Linked DNA regions of Caenorhabditis elegans. The protein of the gene in region 2 binds, or shares a complex with, the protein of the main gene of each other region. Each region holds a gene or a part of one and is shown on either strand. Other genes may lie near its edges.

Region 1 (14,063 bases), about 13 Mb from region 2:
ATATGTTTTAAATTAAAAAAGTGCTTATAAATATTCCCAGCAGATCAAAGAACCCGTAATCACTTGGATGACGTCATGGATCAATATTTGGGTCGTAATAATAATCCCAGAGAACAAGAAAACAATGAACAAAATATTCGAAATACTATAGCAGATCATGTTCGTCGATGGAATGAAACAAGAACTGACGTTCTTCAAGAAATGTTGAATTGGAGAGAAATGCAAGGTTTTACAGGTGAATTGTTGATTTTATTTAAAAAAAACAATTTCTTTTAAATTATTTTTTTTTTGGTTAAAAATTTTTTTGAATTCAAATATTTCTGCCAACTTTAAAGTAGTTACTTGAGTCGATTTAAATTTGAGCGTGGGCTTAGACTTAGACTTGGGCCTAGGTCCAGGCTTTGTTTTAGGCATAGGGTTAGGCTCAGGCTTAGGCTTAGATTTATGCATAGGCTCAGGCTCAGGCTTAGGCCTAGGCTGAAGCGAAGCTGTGGGATGAAGGAAAAAAGAGAAATTCCCAGCAATTCCAAAAAATGGAAAAAAAAGAAAAATCAGGAAAAATGTTCAAAAGTTCTAAAAAAAAATTTTAATTTTCTGGAAGTTTTTTTCTAAATTAAAATATTTCTAGAAGCTGAAACAATTTTTTCTGTCACTCCAAACTTTCGATTATCTTAACATTAGTATTTCTTTTAGAAAATTTGTATAAGTTCCTAATTTTTTAGTGAAATTTCATATCAAATTTGCAGCGCCCCGAGCACATTTGGATGGTGCCAATCTCAGAAATACAGCTCCGGCTACTGAAAATCGAGCAGGTAAAAAAAATCCGAATTTTGCGAGAAAACATTTATGATTTTCAAAAAAAAATCGAAATATCTAATGTTCAGTTCAAAATTTATTAATTTTTTTCACTCTCAGACTTGTTTTTTTTCGATTTTTAAAAATTTTAGAGTTTAATAATTTTTTCCGTCTAAAACTCCGAATTAAAACAATTTTTAATTTTTTAAAAATTAAAATTTCCAATTGTGTAGACTCCGAAATTTTCCATTTTTACTTCCGAAATGTAGGTTTTTTTTTTGGAAAAAGTATATTACCAGCACAGAGTGCAGGTAGTTGAAGAGACACAGACATCCCGCGCCCCGTCCCTTGGGTCCCGGGATGTCTGTGTCTCTTCAACTATCTACATTCTCTGTACCGGCAGTAGTAAAAAATATTTGTCGAGAATTTCAAAATTTTTGAGAAAATATTATTTTTTTGGCCAAAAAATCTTAGTTTTTACAATTTTCAATCCTTCCAGCACCAGCATATGTGCTCGAATGGACGATTAATCATGATAGACCCCGCCATCATCGCATACTTTCCTCGATAGCTCGACCAGAAACTCCAAATACTCCGAGAATGGAGATTGTAATGATTCCGAACATCAATGATCCTTCCACCACCGGCCTGGTTGAACGTCCCAATGGAGATTTATCAGAAGATGAGCAAGAGCTTTCAGATGCTCTAGAGGAACCTCAGGAATCACCGTCAACATCAACAGAATCCCAAGTATCGGAAGACGAAGAGCCATGTTGTTCGACGGACCCTGCTTCAACCACGTCACGTCGCCGACGTATACGTTCCCCGAAATCCGAGAGCGCCAAAAAACCGCGAAAATGTAAGTTTAAAGGTTTGAAAAAACTGGAAATTCTTAAAATGCGTATTGCACAACATATTTGACGCGCAAAATATCTCGTAGCGAAAACTACAGTATCTCTTTAAATGACTACAGTAGCGCTTGTGTCGATTTACGAACTCGATTTCTGAAATGAATTTATTTTTTTCCTTTTTTTCTTCGTATTATTCCCTCTTTTTTCTTCTTTTTTAAAAATATTCTATCGATGCCCGTAAATCGACACAAGCGCTACAGTAGTCATTTAAAAAGAATTACTGTAGTTTTCGCTGCGAGATATTTTGCGCGTCAAATATGTTGTGCAATACGCATTTTCAGAATTTTGTGCTCCTCTAACGAATCAAACTTTTTTTTCAGCATCGAGTCCCCCGCTAGACGATTATTTGAAAGAAATGGCAGTTCGCCAAAATCACGAACAGGTGAGAATCGGGGGGTGTCACGTGGTGCCAAGCTGTCCCATTACGGTTTGGTCTACAAAAAAAGGCGGGATTTTTTCGCCTTAAAATAATGTGACGTCAGCACGTTCTTAACCATGCGAAATCAGTTGAGAACTCTGAGTCTCTTCTCCCGCATTTTTTGTAGATCTACGTAGATCAAGCCGAAATAAGACACTTTGACACACAAAAATAGCTTACTATTTTGTCCATTTTTCTTCTTTTCGGTATGAAAAACAAAATTTGTTGGAATTTTTAAACTGTTTGTTAATATTCTAAAAATTATAAAAAAACAATTTTTCGACAGTCTTTTTGAAAAATATCTAAAAATTTTTTAATATTTTAACGGATTTATTGTTTAAATTTTGAGTCAAAAATTACGGTATCCCCGGGGTCTCGCCACGAAAGTTAAATGCGTAAAAGGTGTGCGCCTTTGAAGAGAGTACTGTACTTTCAAACTTTCGTTGCCACGGTTTTTATTAAAATATGTTTTTTATCGTATTATTCGAGTTTATTCGAAAAAAAACTTTTTGTTTGAAATTACAGTACTCAAAAAAATTTTAAAAATTTGTCGTGTCGAGACCCCGGGTATTGTATTTTTGGCGCCAAAACTTCAAAAAAACAAAATTCGGTGTTTGCGTACTTTCGAGGATACCGTACCCCTCGAAATTTCAAATTCGAGCAAGAAACTTCTAGTTTTCGGTTTTCCGACTGAAATTTTGCGAGGAATTCGAACTTTGAATTGAAACTATGAAATTTTGCTTTCATAAAAGAGTTTTCAGCTCGAAATTAGAAATTTTTCCAGCGCGCCATCCACCTTCGCCAACGTAGAAATCTGGAAATCGCCGGTGCCGACGGTGTCTATCAGCGAATAATCGATGAGCTTCCACTTCCACCGACGCTCAAAGACTATGTTCGATTGGTGCAACACGAGGTTGTGCTCAAGTAGAGAAAAAAATACCGAAATTTCAGTGTTTTTGAGAAATTTTGAAAAAAAAATTGCCTAATTTTCTGAATTGTAACTCATTTTTCTCGATTTTTCCTGTATTTTTAATATCTAATTCTGGTTTTTTTGCACTTTGCCAATTTTTTGTTGTTGAATTTTTTCTGAAAAATCTGAAATTTTTGGCTGAAAAGCTGAAAAAGAAGCTTTTTTTTATGTCTAGCATTTCGTTTAAAAATGAGAAATAATTATTATTTGACTGGAAAAAAGTGATTGTTTTAATTTGTGGAAAAATAAAATTAAATTTAAAAAAAGAAAACGAGAAAAGCAGAATTTTCGCTCCTTTTTCCATGAGATTTCTTTAGTTCAGATAGTTGTATCGACTGCCGGACCACCGTATGACATCTTTTCACGGATGAATGTTCTGGAAAAAAAATGAGTTTTTTTAGGAGAAAATTGGATAACTTTTCAAAATTTTTTTAAATCGTATAAAAATTGATTTTTATTGGAATTTTTTAAAATTAAAATATTAAAAACTACCATTCGTTTGAAAGTTTTTTGAAAAATTTTTAAATCAGTTTTTTCCAATAAAAATCAATGTTTAATACGGTGTTTTTTAAAAAAATTTTTTAAACAAAAAAAATCGCTACCCTGTGAATCGGCTATCCTGATTGACTAAAAGATGTAGATCACGAGTTGTTACACGTACTGTTCGTGGACGAGGTGCTGTCGTTGCGGCGCCCGTGTTTTCCCATCTGAAATTTAAATTTTCAATGTAAAAAAGCGGTATTTTGGTAGAAACTAGCTCGTTTTATCAACAAAAACAAATTGTAAAAAATGAATTTTTTGAAATTGGTTTTCGAAATTTATTTTAAATTGAACCGAAATTAGTTTATCAACTGGAAATTGCAAAAAAATGCACATTTAATAATTTTCCAACAATTTTCAGTAAAAATTTCAAAAAATTTCTTCAAAAAGTGAATTTAGTGGAAGCAATTTAAAAAAAAAGAAAATTATTGGAAAATGTTGTTTTTTTCAACAAAAAAGTGTATTTGTCTAATTTTTTAGAAATTATTTTTTCCCTAATTTTGGAAAAAAATGAATTAATTTTTAATCAAGTTTTAAAAAAACCTTTTTTTTCGAAAAGAGAATTTCTAAATTAAAAAAAAACTAATTTTCAACAAATGACAGTTTCATTACTGGAAGGAGCTGCAAATTTTTTATTTTCATATAAATTTTTATTTCTATATAAATTTTTTCGAAATGTGAAATAAATTTCAAATTTCTCCAAAGAAATTTAGTTTATTCCTGGAAATTATTGGAAAATGTGGTTTTTTTTTCAAAGTCACTAGAAATTTAAATTTTTTTTTAAAATACGTTTTTTTGCCGAAAAGATGTTCATTTGTTTTTCGTTCATTTTTTTCTGTGATTATAAGTCACTGAAATTCAAAAATTATAGTTCTAAAAAATTCTAAAAATTATTTAAAAATCGATTTTTTTTTTCAAAAATTTTTCTCAAAACGTAAAAAATTAATTTTTTGTAAGTGTTCAGCTTTTCTCTAACAATAAATCCAAATTTCGAAAATTTCTTTTTTTTTCTATTTCTTTCGAATTTTTAGTATTTTTAAAGCAAATTTTGTTCAAATTGATTGTATCTTGATTTTAGGCTTAAAATACCGAATAGTTCAACGAAATTTCTGGAAAAATTAATTTTTTGTTGCTTTTTTTCCAGATTTTAAAATTTTTTTCAATTTTTTCAGTGATTTTAGTAATTTTTTTAAACTTCTACAAAAAAATATATATAAAAACCAATTAATGTCGAAAATATTCTTATTTTTTAAACATTTTTCCTTTCAGCTTCTATTTTCACTTTTTCGTAATTTTTTTTGCGAATTTCGCACTAAAAACGAATTTATTCTTGAAAGTTTTATTACTGGAAAGTACTGTTTTTTTTTTTAAATTAAGAACCACAAGAAATTGATTTTATCTAAATTTTAGGGTTAAAATCTTGATCGTTTTAACGAAATTTCTGGAAAAAAACTTTTTTTTCGCTATTTTTCTGAATTTTCTATTTTTTTCATTTTTTTTCAGTGATTTTAAATAGTAATTTTTTAATTGAAAATTTTTATTCTAAAAATTTTTTTTTGTGAAATACAAATTCGAAAAAAACGAAATTTTTTTCCATTTTTTAGAAATTAGTTATTGATTTATTTTATTTTTTCATCGATTTTGCAGCATTGTAAAACAATTTTTTCTGAATAATTTTTTTTTGCTTATTTCTAAATCCAAATCTCAGAAACAAAGGTGTCGGTTTTTCAGTTTTTTAATCGAAAAACGAAACTTTCATTTTTCGAATTTTTGAAAACCGAAAAATCGAAAAATGACACCCTTGGTCAGGAAATTGTTTTTTTTAAATCTATTTTTTAAAAATAATTTTTCTGCAAATTTCACGCTAAAAACGAACTTATTCTTGACAGTTTTATTACTGGAAAGTGCTGCAATTGCAGCCGCATTCGCATCTCGATTCCTTTTCGCTTCAGCATCTTGTCGTTGCATTTCTTTCGCTTTTTCAATCGTCTCTTTTCCACTATTCTTATTCTTGCTCATTCGAATTAGCGACTCTTTTTCTCGACTTTCCCTTAATTCTTCCTCTTGACGATCCAAATCTTCAAGGAATCGAAGTTGCCGTTTGACGTCATCAATTGCCACGTAGTTCTCCGGAATTCTGGAATCTTTTGTAGTGTTTAGGATGGAAAATTCGGATTTTTCACAAAAAATTGTTAGGAAAAAAGCCATTTTTTTATGCTTGCTTCGTGTCGATTTACGGCAGCTCTCCATTTTTTAAAAAAATTTATTCGTGCTTTTTTAAGTTTTTTTTTTTTTTTTTTGCGCGTTTCTTTTATTTTGTCGCTTTTTTGTCAGTTTTTTTTCTGAAATTTTTAAAATATTTTTTTTATATCTCAAAACTCCCGGAATTTTATATTTTTACGTCAGATCTCGACGAACACAGGAGTTTTGACCTAAAAAATTTTCAAATTGACACAAAACAAAATTTCAGGAAAAAAAATGACAAAAAATCGACGAAGATCAAGGAAACTCGTTGAAAAACTGAAAAAAAAAGCTTAAAAGAAATTTAAAAATGAAGAGCTCCCGTAAATCGACACGAAGCAAGTGCGCCCCAATGAGAATTTATCTGGGCGCGCATTTGAAAAATCTCATGGTGTGCATGCACAAAGCGATTTCAAGCTGAAATATAAAGGGAAATTTTTTTTTTGAATTTTTTCGAATAGATATTCGGAATCAGGGGAAAATTGGAGATATTTTTGAAAATATTTCTCAGATTTTTATATTTTTTTGAAAAAAAATTACCGCGTTTCAGCAATGTTTTTTGTTTGGATTTTAAAACAAAATCTAGATGTTTTTTTAATAAATAGTTCGGAACCTTTGAAATTTAAAAATCTTTTTTTTTAATGTAAAATTGTTTTTAAGACGATTTTTCTTCAATAATTTCCTTATTTTTGCTTAATTTTTTTTTCGCTGCCGTATTTTGAAGCAAAATCAATTCTCCTCAATACCTCAAACTCTCCACCCGATGTTCTGCAACTCCGGCCATCAGTGTAATAAGTTCCCTTAAATGCGACTCAACAGCATCTGAAATCGCGACAAGCGCCTCCTCTTCCACCGAACACGATGACATCATTCGTTTCGTGATCCTATTCAGCACCTCATCCGGCTTCAGAATCGACGATTTCAGCGATCCTTCAGGATATTGCCTCGTGGCCGTGGCCGCCGCGGTAGGCTGTAAATTCTCTTCCACCTCCATTTCTACAGGGGGAGCCGGGTGCTGCTGTTGAATCTGCTGTGGTGGGGGAGGAGGATGCATCTGGACCATCTGATGTCCCATCGGCCCTCGTACGGGGCCTTGTAGGCCCATTGGGCTTGGGCCGCCGGGGCCCATAGGCCTGATCATTGGCCGGGCGCCTACAGATACCATATGGGGACCCCCTTGAACCATTTGTGGGGGTATTTGATTCGGATTCGGAATTTGACGCATTTCTAGTGGTGGCTGCTGCTGGGATTGTTGTTGAGGTGGAGGTGGCTGAGGGGGTCCTGGGGTTCTTCCATTGTTGAAAACGTAGCCAGGCGGTGGATTTACGCCTTCAACTGATGCAGTGCCTGGAAATTTGAAAATTAGGGAAAATAGTCCAAAATTGAGGAAAAAAAAAGATTTTTAATCTAGAAAATAGGTAAAAATCCTCATAAATTGCCTGGAAATGCGCCTCAAAATCGAATTTTTGAGCTGAATGTTGAGAAAATCTATAAACATTTTAAAAACTTTAAATTGCAATTTTTCAGCTGAAAATAGCCCTGAATTATGAAAATTGCGTGAAAATTGCGAGAAAATTTGCGGAAATAGCTCTAAATAAAGGGAAGTTTTTAAATAATTGTTTTGCTCAATTTCGTGGAACTCGGATAAATTACCAAAATATACTCCGGAAAAATTGAAAAAGTGCGATAAACTTGATAATTTTTGCTTTCAAAAATAGAATTTTAAAGAAATTTACTGGAAATAGACAAAAAATGTGGAAATTTTAAATTTTAAGCTAAAAAAATTGGTGAAAATCTTAATAAATTGCCTGGAAATGCGCTTGAAAATCGAATTTTTGAGCTGAAATTTGAGAAAATCTATAAAAATTTTAAAAACTTTAAATTACAATTTTTCAGCTGAAAATAGCCCTAAATTATGAAAATGGGTGAAAATCCTTATAAATTGGCTGAAAATCAGGAATTTGCTCAAAATTGTGAGAAAAATTGCGGAAAATCCATATATTACTGACAGCTGAAAATATTTTTAAATAAAGGGAAATTTTTAATTTTTTTTGCTCAATTTTGTGGAACTCGGATATATTATGACAATATACTCCGGAAAATGGAATTTCAAAGCCGAAAAATTGAAAAAATCACCAAAAACAGCTTGAAATTGTTAGAAACTTGATAATTTTCGCTATCAAAAATGGAATTTTAAAGAAATTGACTAGAAATAGCCAAAAAATTTGGAAATTTTGAATTTTTTTCATGGAATTTCTACACAATTTCTTGAAAAATGTAATTCAACGGATTTTTTGCAATTTTTTATGTTAAATTCAAGTTTTTCGCTGCTTTTCAACTCAAATTTTCCTGTTTTTCGATGATTTTTTTTTTGTCGATTTTAATTTTTTTGCACATAAAACCGAACCATTTCGAACAGCATTCCTCAATGCCGGAAGAGTATTCTGAAGGAATGGTAAAAGATGCGGTTGAGCCTGAGATTTGAGCACTTGTTGCAGATTTCGTGTAAACTCTTCAGCCGTCGTTTCCAGATAAATTACGCCCTGAAATATCCGAATTTGTCCGGTTTTTATCGCGTTTTTCGCTCAATTCCTCACTCGAATTAGCTCTTTGACACGGGCGGCCTTGTCCGGCATTTCTGGATCATCGTTATTCGACAGATTAATTAAAGTTTTCAGAAAGCGGACGCATTTTGTCACGTTTTTGTCATCTGAAGCAGCGGCGGCCGCCGCTGCAGAGTTTTGTGGAGTCCCGGGCGGCCCTTGTGGAGCCATTGGCGATGGTGACTGAAAATGCTGCATCTGCTGTTGTATAGGTTGACGAGGCGGCTGCATTTGATGGTTTTGAGCCTCTGAAAATTGGGATTCAAATTTTTTTTCTAACTTTTTTAAATTTTTAAATATTTACGGGGTGCTTCCACGGGTTCCGGAGCCATTTGATGAGCATCTTGGTAGTCGACTTCCTGCTTTATTTGCGGAGGGGCCTGGAATCAAAGGAATAAATTATTGTTAGTTCTTTTTGTTGTTGTAGAAATTTTGAAATAAAAAAAAACAATTACCGGCTCTGGTGTGCTGACTCCTGGCGTTGATCGCTCGCCGATCGCCTTTCCCTGAACGAGTCGAAATCTGGGAAGACTCATGTGTGCTGAAAATGATATTTCTCTCTCAGAAATGTGACAAGGTTTTGAGTTTTCGTGTCGATAATTTCGACGCCATAAAAGAAGAGTTCATACAAAATCGATAATTCCCAGGGTTCAACAGTGTGTTTCCTTGCTATTCCTCCCCACTTTCTTTTGTTTTATTCACATTTTCACATTAAATAGCTAAATTTCCGCAAAATTAGCGGAAAACCCCCTCCGCAACACAGTTTCATTTGAAAATTTACCGGAAAATAGCGGAAAATGGTCGCCTTTTATACTGCCAAGAGTGACCGTACTTTCGGTCGTGGCGAGACCCATGCCGCATGTTTGGAGGGGTGCGTTGCGGCTCGCGTCGCGGTCGCCCGCATTTTCAACTGCGGGAATTTGCGAGATTTGAACGCGATTCTAGTCTAGCTTGCGGTGATTTTTCAATTTTTTAATGATTTTTCAGCGTAAGAACTTTTGAGTTTAGTGGAAATATTGATTTTTGTGATATCACACTCTGAAATACCCAAATTTTCAGTCAATGTATTGTTACATTTCGAAATTTTTATTCAATCTAGTAACAAGCCTACACTTTATCATCGCTAAATAGGATTCTCCATTGTATAGCAGTTCATTCGAATTCCATTTCAAAATTATTGTAAAATGTAGGGGTTTTCTTCTCTAGAATATCCTCCAAAGTTCAACGTGATGTATTGCTGAAATATTTCTTCATCCTAACATGTTCGTTAGAGTCTTCTGTGCGAGGCTTTTCTTTTGATAATGTTTTTTTGATCTGGAAGGTTCCATATTTCGTTCTTTTCCTACTTTTGTCATCTATTTGACCTTCCTTTCATTCAACCTTCCTTTGATAGTTGTATTCTCGTGATTCTCATTCCATTCTTGCGTTCACATGACTGACCCTTTTTATTTATAATTTGTTTTCAGAATGGGTATTAAAGGCGACAAAAAAGCTACCAGCGATCAAGCGCGACTTGCACGACTCACACTGGAAGGAAATTCCGGAAATGAGGAGGACATACAGTTTATGATCAAGACGGTAAGTCTCCAAGCTGGAAATGACGCTTTCCTGAAAATAGTGATCTTTGCATCACGCGAACGCTCGCCACACACCGACATGATGACGCACGTGACTTTGTTGTTTTGAACTTCTCTAGTGTCCGCTTTCAGTGTCAATAGGAATTTCGAATCGATAAGACGGGGCCAGATGGCAAATAAAAGGACAAAAGCAGGTGTCCGCGCTTGAGATGGTGCAGCGAGAGTAAGAGTACCCAGATGTCCTACTCATTTGGGCTAATTAAAGTGTTCGCGCATTCCCAAGAGGGGTTTTTTCACTGCTCATGTCTTTTTCATTTTCAGATTATCGAAACCACCGGATGTACACAAGCACAAGCTGAGATAGCGCTATTGGATACTGACAACAATCTTTACGGCGCAATCGATCACATTCTGGATGCTGGAGATAAACTTGACTCGTGGACTGAACAGAAAGGAGCCAAAAAGGAAAAGAAGAAGCCGGAAGAGGGCAGTTATAACAACAGAGGATTTGTAGCAAGAGGCAGAGGTTCGTGCTTGATTGAAATAGATCAAATATTGATATGTTTTTTTCAGGTGGAGGCACCGGTTTCGTCGATCGAGGAGGCCGCGGGCGATCCAATGGAGCTCCAAGAGAAAGCCGAGATAATAATCGGGATAACCGTGATAATAAGGAAGGAGCAGCACCACGCTCGACTCGAGGAGGATTTGAAAAACCGTATGTTGGACGAGGTGGAAGAGGTGGCGCCAGAGGTGGATATTCTCGAGCTGTTGCTCCATCATCAGCACTTGAGCCAGATGCGTTCACTGCTGATCTTGATGAGGTAAGAATTTTTTGAAGAAGGAAAATGACGAAACGTGTTTTTTTTTCAGAATCAGACTAAAGTGGATACCACAGTCACCGAAGTTCAACCACCAGTAGAGGAATCCGTCACCGCCACTGTTCCCACATCTTCTGCGCCGGCACCGATCTCATTTGCTGCAGTAGCAGCAGCTGCCCATCGCAAAGAAGCACTCCGAAAGCACCAGGCACAGAATCCTCAACCAGCAGCTCCGCCAAGGAGGAGTCTCTCCCCACAACCTCCACTTCCGTCAGTTGCACCAGTTAAAGAAGAGCCAGCAGCAGCGCCAGTATTTTTCGAGCCAGAAACTTCGCATCAGCCGGAGAAAGAAGATGGTTTCTTCCAAAAGTAAGTTGTTCTGTCCCTGTATTTAGATTATTAAAAATTTAATTTTCAGTGAATCATCAGTTTTGGCTGAGGAGCAGACGCCTAATGTGTCGACTCATCACGATGAAAATGTACAAAGCACCCCAGAACCAAATCAAGCATGGACCACTCAACTGAAGACGGATCTTGGAATAGGATTGAGTGAAGCACCAGGACTAGGATTATCTCCAATTCCAAGTGCAGCACCAGTCCAGATTATTCCTGATCCTGGAGTGGAATTTGTTGGCACAACTGCACCAACGAACATTCATGACTACTCATTTGGATTTGTTGAGGCTGCTCCAAGCCCACAGCTTCCTTCTACTGAATCCTCCGCTGCCTCGATCTCAAATGCCAGTGAAAATATATTTAACTCTTCTCGTATTATGCCGAAACAAGTTGAGGTGAGTTAAATTTGTTGCAAAGACGATTTATTCTAATTCTCGATTATTTTTCAGCCAGAAAGGACGTCAATTCCTAACGGCGATTACAACTTAAAATCGACTTCACCTCCATTGTCATATGGTCAATCTAACAGAGGATTGTCCTATGACACTTCGTCCGCTTCATATCAACCAACGGACAGGATGGCGCCGAACAAGTTCAACAATTCTGGACCACTTCCAACACAGCAATCTGCTCAGCAGCACCAGCCACAGCAGCAGCAGCAACAAGCCCCACAACAGCCAGTGCAGCAGCAGCAACAAACTCCACCAGCTCAATCACAACCGACTGGACATCCACAACAGCATCCACATATGATGTTCACTCAACAACTCCCATATGCACCATACATGAACAACTACATGAACATGTACAATCCAATGCCAGGAGTTCGAGATGAGCAATATACTGCTGCTCTTATGCAATACGGAATGGGAGTTGATCTTACAAGCTTGCTTCCAACTGCTCCTCTGTCACAGGCTGCTTCTGCGCAACAAGTGCAATCTGGTCAACAACGAGAGACTCATGGACTTATGGACTTCAATAAGTTCGGATCTCAAAGCTCTCGGGATCAGCAGCCACAGCAGGCGTCGAATGTTGGACCACCACCAGGGTTCCAGGCGACGAACTACATGCAGCAGCCAAACTTGTCGTCGTTGTTCATGCAGCAGTACTCACCTGCTCCACACCAGTTTACTCCATTCATGAACATGATGCCCAATGTTGGAAGCAGCGCTGGAGGTCGTCAACTCTACGGACAGGATGACGAGCGCAAGAGTTACGACAAGATGTCTGGATCGAAGCCGGCAGCTCAGCAGAATCAACATTCTCAATACCAACACAATGGTGGAAATCTTGGAAAATATGGCATGAATAAGCCGTACAACTGGAGTAACTAACCGGTTTTCGAAAGTTCTCAGTCAGCGACTTTGCTCCCCCTCCCTCTCCCCTCTAAATAATAAAATGATCTGTTTTATTTTCACATGTTCTTTATTTTCTACGGATTTCCAAATAAATGTACCTGATGTCTAGGTGTATCTATAAATATGCCTCCTCATCGGGCTTTCAGCGTAATGTCATGTGCACTTGTAATCGGGGCAACGTCCACACTGGGTAAAGCCGTCGTGAGAAGACTCGCGTTCACCGGCTACAAGGTCGCCGCCGCCGCAGACTGTCCGAATAGTGTGGGAAAGGTTGCAGAGGACAATATAAAGGTTTAGGCAGATTTTCAGAACTTGACAAAGAGAAATTCGGGAATAAATTCAGGTTGGAGGTGACGTCACAGCTTTCTCATTAGACGTGGCAAATGCCGAGCACAGGAAGGAGCTGATCACGAAAGTGGCTGAGAAGCTCGGCGGTCTGGACACTTTAATTATAGTTCCACCACAGAATGAGGTGCTCGGCGAGATTATTGAGACATCCGGCGAGGATTTTGATAAGGTTCGAGAGTGCTGAAATTTGAATTCCACGTGGAAAATTGACCTCGAAAAACCAATTTCAGCTTTTCGCCAACAATCTGACAACACCGTTCCGTCTTTCGCAAGCCGCTATGTCGACGCTCGCCAAATCTCAGTCAGTTTTTGGGTCTCGCCGCGAAAATTTCAGATATTATTTTTTGCTGGTAGAAATTCGAAAAATTCAAACTGTCTTGAAAGCCTATTTTACCGATAGAATCAAAATTATGTTTCTAGATTTTCGTGCCTGACTCATGCCTGCCTACCTAAACCACGAAAAAAGGGAAAAATAGGTAGATAGGCAAGTAGGCATGAAATCGTGCCTACCCTAGAGATCATGCAACTTGAAAAAATTGTAGTAAAACAAAAAAAGGATTTTCAAGAATGTTAATTTTTTGCTCACAAAAATGCCGAGAATAGGCGGTAGGTAGGTAGGCACGTAGGCATGAAGTCGGTGCCTACCCTAGAAATCACAAAATTTGGAAAAAAAATTCAGAAAACAAAAATAATAGTGTTTTCATAAATATGATTTTTTGCACGAGAAAAAATGCCGAAAATAGGAGGTAGGTAGGTAGGTACGGTAGGCATGGAGTCGTGCCTACCCAAAAAAATCGTAGAAAACAGGAGAAAAAGCTAATTTGATCTCTTTTTGCTCACAAAAAATGCCGAAAATAGGCGGTAGGTAGGTAGGCACAGTAGGTGGGAAGTCGTGCCTATCCGAAAAATCTTGAAATTTGGAAAAAATCGTAGAAAAACGAAAAGAAAAAAGCTAATTTGATTTTGTTTTGCACACAAAAAATGCCAAAAATAGGCGGTAGGCAGATAGGCGCGGTCTGCATTAAAAATCATTGAATTTTGAAAAAAAAAGCATTCCCATGAATTTTAATTTTTCACACAAAAAAATT
Region 2 (10,915 bases):
AAATTCAAAAGAAAATTTAGACTTTCTACACAAAATCTCAACTTTTTGCCGAAAAACTTTAGAAAAAACAGATTTTCATCACATATTCAGTCGTAAAAAGAGCTTTCCCGGCGAAAAATCCAATTTCCAGCCAAAAAAAAAAAATCAAATTTTCAAGCAAAATTTCGAATTTTCTATTAGAAAATCTGCTAAGAAATGTACATTTCATGATTTTTTCTCAGAAAAATCAAATTTTTATGCGAAATAAAATAAATTTGAAAAAAAAATCATTTAAACTCGAGTTTAAATTCAAATTTTCACGAAAAATGAAATTAGCCCGCGATTGGTTGAGGCTCATAGACTACAAACTACAGTTTTTCATAGCCTCACCAAAAGTTGGTTGAGGCTAGGGTAGTTTGTAGTCGTAGCCTCAAGCAACATTTTCGGCGTTTTTGCTTATTTTTCACAGTTTTCAACTCAAAAAATGGAAAATTATATCCAGTTTTTTTGAGTTTTCATGGAAAAATTTTTAATTTATGACTGTTTTCATACTTTTCTGCTCAAATTTTCACCGAAATTTCTCTGTTTTACAGAAAAAATCACTTGAAAATTCGTTTTTTGGGCAAAAAATGACTGAAAAATCGGTTTTTTTTCGATTAAAATTCAGAAAAATTGGCTGAAAAAAGTTGTGTGAGGCTCACACACTACAAACTACAAAGTTCTCTGAGCCTCACCCAAGTTGGTTGAGGCTGGAGAATTATGTAGTTTGTAGTGTGTGAGCCTCAACCAAGGTTTTTTGAGCATTTTAATTAGATTTTATTGTCAAAAATACAATTTTCAGCCATTTTTTCGCTAGATTTCTTCTGAAAATTAAAAAAATTAATCAAAAAAAAACTTGTTTTTTCCAGAAAATCCCACGATCGGCTCCGCCACAAGTACTCTGAGCTTAAAGCGAACATTGAAGTGGAGAAAAAGATGAAGACAGACGTGTTAAAGATGCTTCAGGAGGCAAATGAACGAATTGAGCAGCTGGAAAAGACACGTGGCAACAGTCATGACGACTCATCACTACTAATCCCCTCATATTCACTACATGATGCATCTTCAGAAGGCGCCGGGGAAGCGCTGTGCTATCCGGACTCGGGAGCGGCGGCTCAAAATCCACAAAATTCGATGTTCATGTCAATTTTCTCGTCGAATCTCGTGTTTTCCGCGCAAAATTCCACTCAAAACGCGCAAAATCCGATGCCAAAATCGCTGGAAGACGATCTGGACGCACAGGATGAGGTCCGTGTCTTCCGAAGCTCTGAAGATCAAGAAATCACTGATCCAGAGGATTTTGAAGAGGACGAAACTGAAGAACTCGAAATTTCATCATCGCCGTTTGAGGTGGAAACATCGAGAAGCAGCTCGCAGCAGCCCGGAGGAGAGGATTCGACGATTTTCGAGGGAAATATCCGGAAAATTGGCGGCGGCAGAAGACACTCGGATTCGGATTTGTTTAAGGGGGGTCCCGACACGATTAGTCTCACGCCGAGCGATACTGTTCCAGTGGCACCGCAAAACGAGTATGTGAGGCTGCAGAAATACTCGAGAACGAATTCATGGCTTAAAGTGGGTTTTTTGAGTGAAGAAAATAATTATTTTGCACAAAAAATGAAGGTTTTCCGATTTTTACAACAAAAATCGATGAAAAACTATTTAAAAAAAACGGTAAAATTGGATTTTTTCTGAATTTTCTGCGTAAAATTGCTCGATTTCGAGTGCAAAATGCAGTTGGTTGAGGTTCACACTACAAACTACAACTTTTTCTAGCCTCACCCAAGTTGGTTGAGGCTGAAAGTTATATTTTTTTTTAATCTGAGCCTTACCAAATGCATTTTCCACTCAAAATCATGCAATTATACGCTGAAATCTCACTTTTCTTCATGAAATAACATCTAAATTTTCGATTTTCCGTTTAAAATTGCAGAGAAAAATGAACTTTTCCGGCTGGTTGAGGCTCACACTACAAACTACAACATTTTCTAGCCTCACCCAGCTTTTGGTGAGGCTTGACAAGTTGTAGTTTGAAGTGTGAGCCTCAACCAAACACGTATTTTTGGCAGAAATACGCGATTTGCAGTCAATTTTTGACTTTATTACCCTAAAAATTAACAATTTCCGTATATTTTCAGCTGAAAAATCACAATTTTGCCATTTTTTCACTTCATTTGTGTTTCTTTTGTGTTTCTGCACGAAAATTGAGAGAAAAAGCCTTTTTTCTTTGTAATTTTATTTGAAAATGAATAGAAAAGTGACAAAATTGTGATTTTTCAGCTGAAAAGAAACGGAAATTGTTAATTTTTATGATAATAATGTTGAAATACTACAAACGACAACATTTTCTAGCCTCACCCAACTTTTGATGAGGCTAGAAACCTTGTAGTTTGTAGTGTGTGAGCCTCAACCAAATGCATTTTCCACTCAAAATCAAGCAATTTTAACGGAAAAAACTTGAAATTCCAATCATTTTTATTCAATTTTTCAGCGAAATTCCATCAATCCAGACGATGACGGTGGCTCATCAGATAGTTCGGAAGAGGAACGACTAAGCCTAATCGAGAGACAATTGAAGAAAAAGGGCGGTCTCGTCAAATATAATCCGCCGAGAACGAAAATTCACGATAAACACTATAAAAGGTGCGGGAATCTTCAATTTTCGCCACTTTTTAGTGAAAAAAAAACCTCTAAAAACGAAGAAAATTACTATTTTCAGTGGAAAAAACCCAAAAAAAAACCGAGAATTTTGCTTTTTCCAGAAGAAAATTGCTTAAAAATTGGATAAAACTGTTATTTTTAATCAATTTTCATCATTTTTTAGTGAAAACCTCTAAAAACGAAGAATATTGCTATTTTCTGTGGAAAAAACCCAAAAAATACGGAGAATTTTGCTTTTTTCAGAAGAAAATTGCTTAAAAATTGGATAAAACTGTTATTTTTAATCAATTTTCATCATTTTTTAGTGAAAACCTCTAAAAACGAAGAATATTGCTATTTTCTGTGGAAAAAACCCAAAAAATACGGAGAATTTTGCTTTTTTCAGAAGAAAATTGCTTAAAAATTGGATAAAACTGTTATTTTTAATCAATTTTCATCATTTTTTAGTGAAAACCTCTAAAAACGAAGAATATTGCTATTTTCTGTGGAAAAAACCCAAAAAATACGGAGAATTTTGCTTTTTTCAGAAGAAAATTGCTTAAAAATTGGATAAAACTGTTATTTTTAATCAATTTTCATCATTTTTTAGTGAAAACCTCTAAAAACGAAGAATATTGCTATTTTCTGTGGAAAAAACCCAAAAAATACGGAGAATTTTGCTTTTTTCAGAAGAAAATTGCTTAAAAATTGGATAAAACTGTTATTTTTAATCAATTTTCATCATTTTTTAGTGAAAACCTCTAAAAACGAAGAATATTGCTATTTTCTGTGGAAAAAACCCAAAAAATACGGAGAATTTTGCTTTTTTCAGAAGAAAATTGCTTAAAAATTGGATAAAACTGTTATTTTTATTCAATTTTCAACAATTTTCCGCTAAAATCACTCGCCCCTTTTACCACGCAAAACATGGTGATTGGCGGAACCCGCGAAGCCGTCCGCCGCTCAAATTGCGTATAAAAGGACGAATTTTCTATGGGTTTTCGCATATTTTTCATGATTTTTCCTAGTTTTTCGGTGGAAAATAGCTATTTTTAGGCGGAAAATTCCAATTTTTATTCAAATTTAGTCAATTGTAACCCATTTTTATTCCAGATTCGGCAAAAACGAGCGTTCGGCGTTGGCAGAATTCGAATATCTTCAGGATATGTCTACAGACGTCTCGGGGCTCCAATCAAGCCCTGAACTCGGACAATTGATGGGACAACTGCAGCAACAGAGGATGTAGAGCTGATTTTCAGTGGAAAATTCTAATTTTCTGTGAAAAAAATCGAGTTTTTTGGGTAAAAATTCATAGAAATCTGAATTTTTCCCCCAAAAATTGAATTTTTAGTCAATTTTTACCATGTTTAACCCTAATAAATCCCCATTTCCCCCCCCCCCCCCCCCCCCCCCCCCCCCATTTTCGTGTCAATTTTCGGGTAAAATTCCCATTTTTCGCTTGTATTTTTGCCCATTTTTCATTGTTTTTTCTCTCGAATTTTCTCAGATAATCAATCAATTTAATTGAATCTTTTTTTTTGTTGAAAAAATTGAATCATTTTCCATAATTTTGTCATTTTTTTCCCATAATTTGAAATGAATTTCTCACTTTCCTATTTTCGCTATTCTTTTCCGGTTTTTTCGGGGGGAAATCCTCGAAAAAGTGTAATTTTGCACTTGAATATTTTTTTTTTTAATAGTTTTTCTATTTTTTAGCTGAAAATTCAATTTTTAAACGTTTTTTCACATAAACCAACGTTTAACAGAAATTTTGTTTTAAAAATCGGTAAAAACCGAATAAAAAGTGAAAATTCGAAGAAAAATTTAGAAAAAAACAATTTTTATTCAAAAACTCTAATTTTGCTGTAAAAATTTGGAAAAAACTTATTTTCATCACATTTTTAGTCGCTAAATTCAATTTTCAGTCGAAAAATTGAATTTTCAAGCGAAATTTTGAATTTTCAGTCAGAAATTCTGCTAAAAATTGCAAATTTCATGAATTTTTCTTCAAAAATTTCATTTTTTAATGCCAAAATCCAATAAATTCCACAAAATCATAATTAAAATTCGAGTTTCAATTCCAAAAATTCTGAATTTTCCACAAAAAAAAGATTTTTTCCGCACTTGGTTGCTCACACTACAAACTACACAATTTTCTAGCCTCACTCAACTTTTGGTGAGGCTTAAAAAGTTGTAGTTTGTAGTGTCGGCCTCAACCAAATGCATTTTTCGAGCAATTTTAAGCCGAAAAGTCAGAAAAAACTCAACTTTTTGCCGAAAAACTTTGAAAAAATTAGATTTTCATAACATTTTTAGTCGAAAAATGAATTTTCCCGGTGAAAAATTAAATTTTTCAGCGAAATGATTGTAAATTTCATTTTTTTTCTTGAAAAGTCTAATTTTTATGCGAAAATCAATCAAATTTGAAGAAATAATAATTAAAATTCGAGTTTCATTCAAAAAACTGAGAACTTTCCCCAAAAAATTAGTTTTTCCGGAGTTGGTTGAGGCTCACACTACAAAAACTACAACATTTTCTAGCCTCGCCCAACCTTTGGTGAGGCTGAAAAAGTTGTAGTTTTTGTAGTGTGAGCCTCAACCAAATCCATTTTTCACTCAAAATCGAGCAATTTTGAGCAGAAAATCCATTTTTTCCGTGAAAAAATTTAAAAATTCGTGAATCATCAGGTTTTTAGAATTATTTTTAAAGTTATTATCGTAATTTTTTCCAATTTTCTACAAGTTTTTAGTCTCACCAAAAGTTGGTTGAGGCTAGAAAATGTTGTAGTTTGTAGTCTGTGCATTTTTTGGTGTTTTCTTCTTAATTTGCACAATTTTGATTCATTGTTTATTCGGAAAAATGGAAATTTTATCGATTTTCAAATTCAAATTAAATAAAAATTCAATTTTGAGACTAAATTAATGGTTTTTTTTTCGAATTTTTCAAAATTTCCGTTTTCTTTTTTTTCTCTGAAAATTTTCTAAAGAATATCAATAGACAGAACTCATGAATTTTCAAAATTCAAAATCTCTAAAACTCAAAATCGAGCAACTTTGAGCAGAAAATTCAGAAAATATTCAATTTTTTCGTGAAAATTTCTTGAAAAATTCGTGAATCTCCAGGTTTTTAAAATATTTTTCAAAATTTTTTATTGTAATTTTTTCCAGTAATGAACAATACACATCATCACACAAATGGGTATCGAACGGAAAAGCCAAAAAATGAAGAAGATCTAGAGGATCCTTACGCTAATCTCTCGGATTTCTACAAAAATCATCCGGCAGCACGGAATGAAGGTAGCGAAAATCGAAAAAAAAAACTTTGGAATTTCACTAATTTTTCATTTTTTTCATTTTTTCAGCATGTTCGTCAGCTTCTAATGGCGGCTCTAAAAGTGTGAAAATGGAGCCAAAAGTGGAAAAAAATGAAGAATTTGAAGAATATATTGGTGATCCTGTACGATTAGAAGATATGGAACCATTTGCAAGACCATCACTTCGAGATGATGCACCACTTTCATCTATTTTACATCCGGATCTTGATGGAATTGATCCGAGGTACTGAAAACCACAAATTTCTGTTGAAATTGACGTTTTTTACCGGAAATTTCCACGAAAAACTCAAAAATTCTATCAAAAATCACTGAAAATTGGGAAATTTGACAAAAAATTTCATTTCCTGCCGAATCCTGTAATGTGTAGTATGAGATGTGTGTGGTATAAAAATTGACAAATTTTAATTTAATAACATTAAAAAAAATTTCATTTTTCTCTAAAAACTTTATTTTTTTTTCCATTTTTACAAACTTTTTTATAAAATCACCCGAAAATTCGAATTTTCTTCGGAAAATCTATTTTAAAAACTCTGAAAATTGCTCGAAAATGACATTTTTTGAATAAAGTATTCCAAAAATGCTCAAAACGTGCTGTTTCTTCCAAAATTCCATAATTTTCTTTTAAAATTCCGCAAAATTTGCTTGCCCTTGAAATTGAAAACTGAAATTTTTTGAATTTCCCGCCAAAAGTCGATTTGGAAAGAGTTTTTGCTGGAAAAATCAAAAATTTCGACAAAAAATCGTAAAATGGGATTTTTTTTTCAAAATTTTTCGAAAAAAAATCGAGTAAAAGTGACGATTTTTTTTTCAATTTTTGTTGAATAAATCGAATATTCAGTAAAATTTTCATTTTTTTTTCTCGAAAAATTGATAGAAATTCTAATTTCGTTGGAAAAAACAAATTTTCACTTTTTTTAAGCATGAAAAGCGCCATTATTTCAAAAAATTGGCAAACATTTGCCGAAATTCGAATTTCGCGCAAAAATCGAATAAAAGTGACGATTTTTGTTGGAAAAATCGAATTTTCACTGAAATGTTGGGTTTTGTTTTATTCGAAAATTGAAAATTGAAATTCGAATTTTGCTCCAAAAGTCAGTTTTCCAATGAAGTTTCATAAAAACACACAAATACACAATTTTTAAGTCAAAAAACCCGAAAATTGGCAATTTCTGCAAAAATTCCTTTAAAAAACTCAAAAATTCACTCAAAAATCGTTGAAACCCGTGTCACTTTTCCCCGAAAAAACCCACAATTTTTCCACACAAACCCATGGTTTTCCTAGCCATCAGAAATCTCATGTAAAACTCGAAAATTTGCTTTAAAATTGTTAAACCTTTTTTTCGAGCCAAAAAAGCCAAAAAAAGCCTGAAAATTGGCCAATTTCTGCAAAAATTCCAAAAAAAATGGTTGAAACCCGTCATTTTTCCCCTGAAAACTGGTTTTTCTCGCCGAAAAACTCGAAATTTTGATGTAAAATTGCTAAAAACTGCTAATTTCTTCTAGAATTCCATAATTCTCTGTTAAAATTTCCAAAAAAATTCCGAAAATTCGCCAAAAATTCACGCAAATCACTGAAAACCCCCATTTTTCCGCAAAATCCTTTAATTTTATTTTCAGAATCTTCTTCAAAGACTTCAATCCAAACAAAACTCTTCGTTTCTCTCGACTTTTTGCTCAAAATATCAAACATACGTCCCGTGCCGAGATCTGGTGGGCTTCCCGAACCTTCTCCAAACATCAACGCAAAAAAGAGCCCGAAGAGCCCCTCGCTGATGACGTCATCGTTGGAGCCAAAAAGCTGAAGCTTAACATCATTGAGAAGGTGCCACGTGTCATGTTGGCTGACGATGAAGAAGAACGAATGCGGAGACCGATACTGACGGATGCAGAGGAAATGGCAAAGAAAAATGAAGAGGGTACGGTAGTTCAGCCGTGGAGAACGGGTCCCGCCAAGATTTGGTATGATATGATGAATTTGCCGATGACTAGTCAAGCTGTTAATTATGGATTCAAACTGAAGGTAAAAATAATGAAAATTTGCAGAAAATCGGCTGAAAATTGCTCAAAAAAATGGAATTTCCTTTGAAAAACTGACTTAAAAATGGCTGAAATTGGCTAAAAATGATCAAAATTAAAGTTTCCTGGTAAAAAATACACTGAAAATGGCTGAAAAATGGCTGAAATTCGCCAAAAATTGAAGTTTTCAATAAAAAAAACCCTAAAAATCGCACTAAAAATCTGAAAAAATTACCAAAAAAGCGCAAATTTGACACAGTTTGCTCAAAAAAATTTGGTTGAAGCTAGAAAATTTCGTAGTTTGTAGTATGAGCCTCAACCAAAATTGAGAATTTTAAATTGGTTGAGGCTAAAAAGTTGTAGTTTGTAGTATGAGCCTCAACCAAAATTGAGAATTTTAAATTGGTTGAGGCTAAAAAGTTGTAGTTTGTAGTGTGAGCCTCAACCAAAATTGAGAACTTTAAATTGGTTGAGGCTAGAAAATGTTGTAGTTTGTAGTGTGAGCCTCACCCAAAATTGGTTGAGGCTAGAAAATGTTGTAGTTTGTAGTGTGAGCCTCACCTTAAATTGGTTGAGGCTAAAAAAGTTGTAGTTTGTAGTGTGAGCCTCAACCAAAATTGGTTGAGGCTAGAAAATGTTGTAGTTTGTAGTGTGAGCCTCACTCAACAATATATTTTTAGTTGAAAAACGTGATTTTCAGTCAATTTTTGATAATTTTTAACTAAAAATTCCTGAAAAATATAATTTCCAGCTCAATTCCGACAATTTTCCGGTTATTTTCACGGCTTAAACAGCATTTCATGAGTTTTCAGACAATTTTCGGTCATCTTAGACAATTTCATCTCATTTTGTCAATTTTATAATCAAATTTTATCGTTTTCCACTAATTTCTATAGTTTTTTTTTGTAGAAAAATCGGAAAAAATTGCTGAATTCCTCAAAATTTCAAAAACTTCCTCTCGAAACTTTAATTTTCAATTAATTTTTTAACAATTTCAGAAATCTCCTCAAAAAGTATCAATTCGAAGTGGAAAACCGCTCAATTACCGTACCCCGGATGATCTACCATCCACGTCATCAGGCCCCGCCCCAAACTCCGCCCCTTTCTTGGATAAAGTGGAAGTAATTGATAAAAGTTGTGAAGCTTCAACATCAGAAGATATTCTATTACCATATCAAGTAATTGAATGGGAAAATGATGTGATATTAGATGGAGAAGAAGTTAAAGATCAACTTTTGGAAGAATTTTCGAATGGAAGAGGTTGTGGATGGATTCCCACACAGTATACGAGAACTTATGAGCATTTTGTATATGCTGGTATGGATGAAAATGTGAAAAAAAGTGCAAAATTCGTGAAAACGGCAAAATTTTGACCTAAGAATGTTAAAATTTGGATAAAATTACGAATTTTGGCCCAAAATCGCCAAATTTTGATGAAAATTTCAATTTTAGCATAGAAAATTGTGGAAAATAGTAATTTTGACTTGAAATTGGCAAATATTTGTCAAAATTGCCAAAACTTATGAAAAATGACCAATTTTGACCGAAAAATTGCTGAAATTCGTGAGAATTCATCAATTTTCTATTAAAATTGCCACAGTTCAAAAAAATATGCCAAAAATCTTTTAAAATGATCCATTTTGACTAAAAAATGCCGAAATTTTTGTAAAAATGTCAATTTTTGCAAAAAAATTGCCAAAACGCGTTGAAAATTCTCCAATTTGTAAAAAAAGAACAATTTCGACCCGAAATTATCAAAATTTGTACGAAATTCTCAATTTTCACCAAAACAAAAAAAATTAAAAAATTCGTACTTGAAAGTTTCAAAAATCGCAAATTCTGGGCTTCAAATTGGACAATTTCAGGAAATCTGAACCTAAAATTCAAGAAATGTACGTAATTTGTACTGAATAAATTCACAAATTTCAGACTTTAAAGGTGGTGCTGTCGAATTTTTTAAAAATTTCTTTATTAGACTCAGAATTGTCTGAAAACATCGAATTTCATAATGAAACTTTTTGAAAACTTTCCAAAAAAAGTTATGGCGGCTCGAAAAATGGTCTAAAATTAGTGAAAACTTGAAATTTGACCAACTTATCATTGTCGCAGCGGCTGGAAACAATTTTTTTTTGAAATTGTCGTCTAATTTTGGGTATGCAAGTTATTTATCGTGTGCTTTCAACACGGTTTAGGTATTTTAAAGTCGATGGACGAAGAGATTTGGTGAAAAAAATTGAAAAATCTCATCGACTTTAAAATACCTGAACCGTGTTGAAAGCGCACGATAATTTACTTAAATATCCAAAAGTAGACGACAATTTAAAAAAAAATTGTTTCCAGCCGCTGCGACAATCATAAGTTGGTCAAATTTCAAATTTCACTAATTTTAGGCCATTTTTCGTGCCGCCATAACTTTTTTTTTTGAAAAGTTTTCAAGAAGTTTCATTATGAAATTCGGTGTTTTCAGACAATGTTGAGTCTAATAAAGCAATTTTTAAAAAGAAATCGACTACACCAACTTTAAATCCTAGAAATCCTTATAATTTGGACCTGAAATCAAAATAATATTCGCAAATTTCGCACCTGAAATTGAATAAAATTGCTAATTTTCTAATTTTCCAGCCAACAACAACGCATTCGAGCAAATGTTCGACGGAAAATCCGCCCCGATCAACCTAACAGGCCCAGATTCGGCAATTCTTCCAACACCCGGTCACTCGATATTCCCCTCTGCTCCATGTGACCTCGATATTCTTCCATGGGAAACTAACATCATTTGGGATGCCGACGCGATGCCTTCAACACTTGAACCAATCGATTTTCTCGTAGATTTCCAAGATGATCCTCTGATTTATGGAATGCCAGAAGATCGGAGACACGATGAAGGACCCGATCATCATCATCAT

What was found.
Region 1: taf-1 (region 2) and taf-4 share a complex: the UniProt entries of both Caenorhabditis elegans proteins name them as parts of the TFIID basal transcription factor complex.

What each region holds. Positions count from the first base shown.
Region 1 is NC_003279.8:377,784-391,846, reverse strand, and holds taf-4 (Transcription initiation factor TFIID subunit 4), read right to left. Parts: upstream 9,022-14,063; 5' UTR 9,015-9,021; coding exon 8,934-9,014; intron 8,859-8,933; coding exon 8,783-8,858; intron 8,727-8,782; coding exon 8,473-8,726; intron 8,419-8,472; coding exon 8,283-8,418; intron 7,223-8,282; coding exon 6,622-7,222; intron 5,772-6,621; coding exon 5,511-5,771; intron 3,802-5,510; coding exon 3,697-3,801; intron 3,471-3,696; coding exon 3,413-3,470; 3' UTR 3,283-3,412; downstream 1-3,282. Other genes in the region: R119.5 (Protein-L-isoaspartate O-methyltransferase domain-containing protein 1), read left to right, coding at 41-235, 747-812, 1,295-1,654, 2,027-2,088, 2,909-3,052; Prion-like (glutamine/asparagine-rich) domain bearing protein pqn-59, read left to right, coding at 9,946-10,056, 10,377-10,581, 10,629-10,876, 10,926-11,242, 11,292-11,664, 11,719-12,603; R119.3 (DeHydrogenases, Short chain), read left to right, coding at 12,778-12,918, 12,971-13,144, 13,206-13,276. UniProt on the Caenorhabditis elegans protein: The TFIID basal transcription factor complex plays a major role in the initiation of RNA polymerase II (Pol II)-dependent transcription.
Region 2 is NC_003279.8:13,855,648-13,866,562, forward strand, and holds the start of taf-1 (Transcription initiation factor TFIID subunit 1), read left to right. Parts: upstream 1-5,826; 5' UTR 5,827-5,828; coding exon 5,829-5,955; intron 5,956-6,020; coding exon 6,021-6,216; intron 6,217-7,610; coding exon 7,611-8,013; intron 8,014-9,007; coding exon 9,008-9,326; intron 9,327-10,631; coding exon 10,632-10,915. Other genes in the region: W04A8.6 (ANK_REP_REGION domain-containing protein), read left to right, coding at 888-1,593, 2,510-2,661, 3,772-3,904. UniProt on the Caenorhabditis elegans protein: The TFIID basal transcription factor complex plays a major role in the initiation of RNA polymerase II (Pol II)-dependent transcription.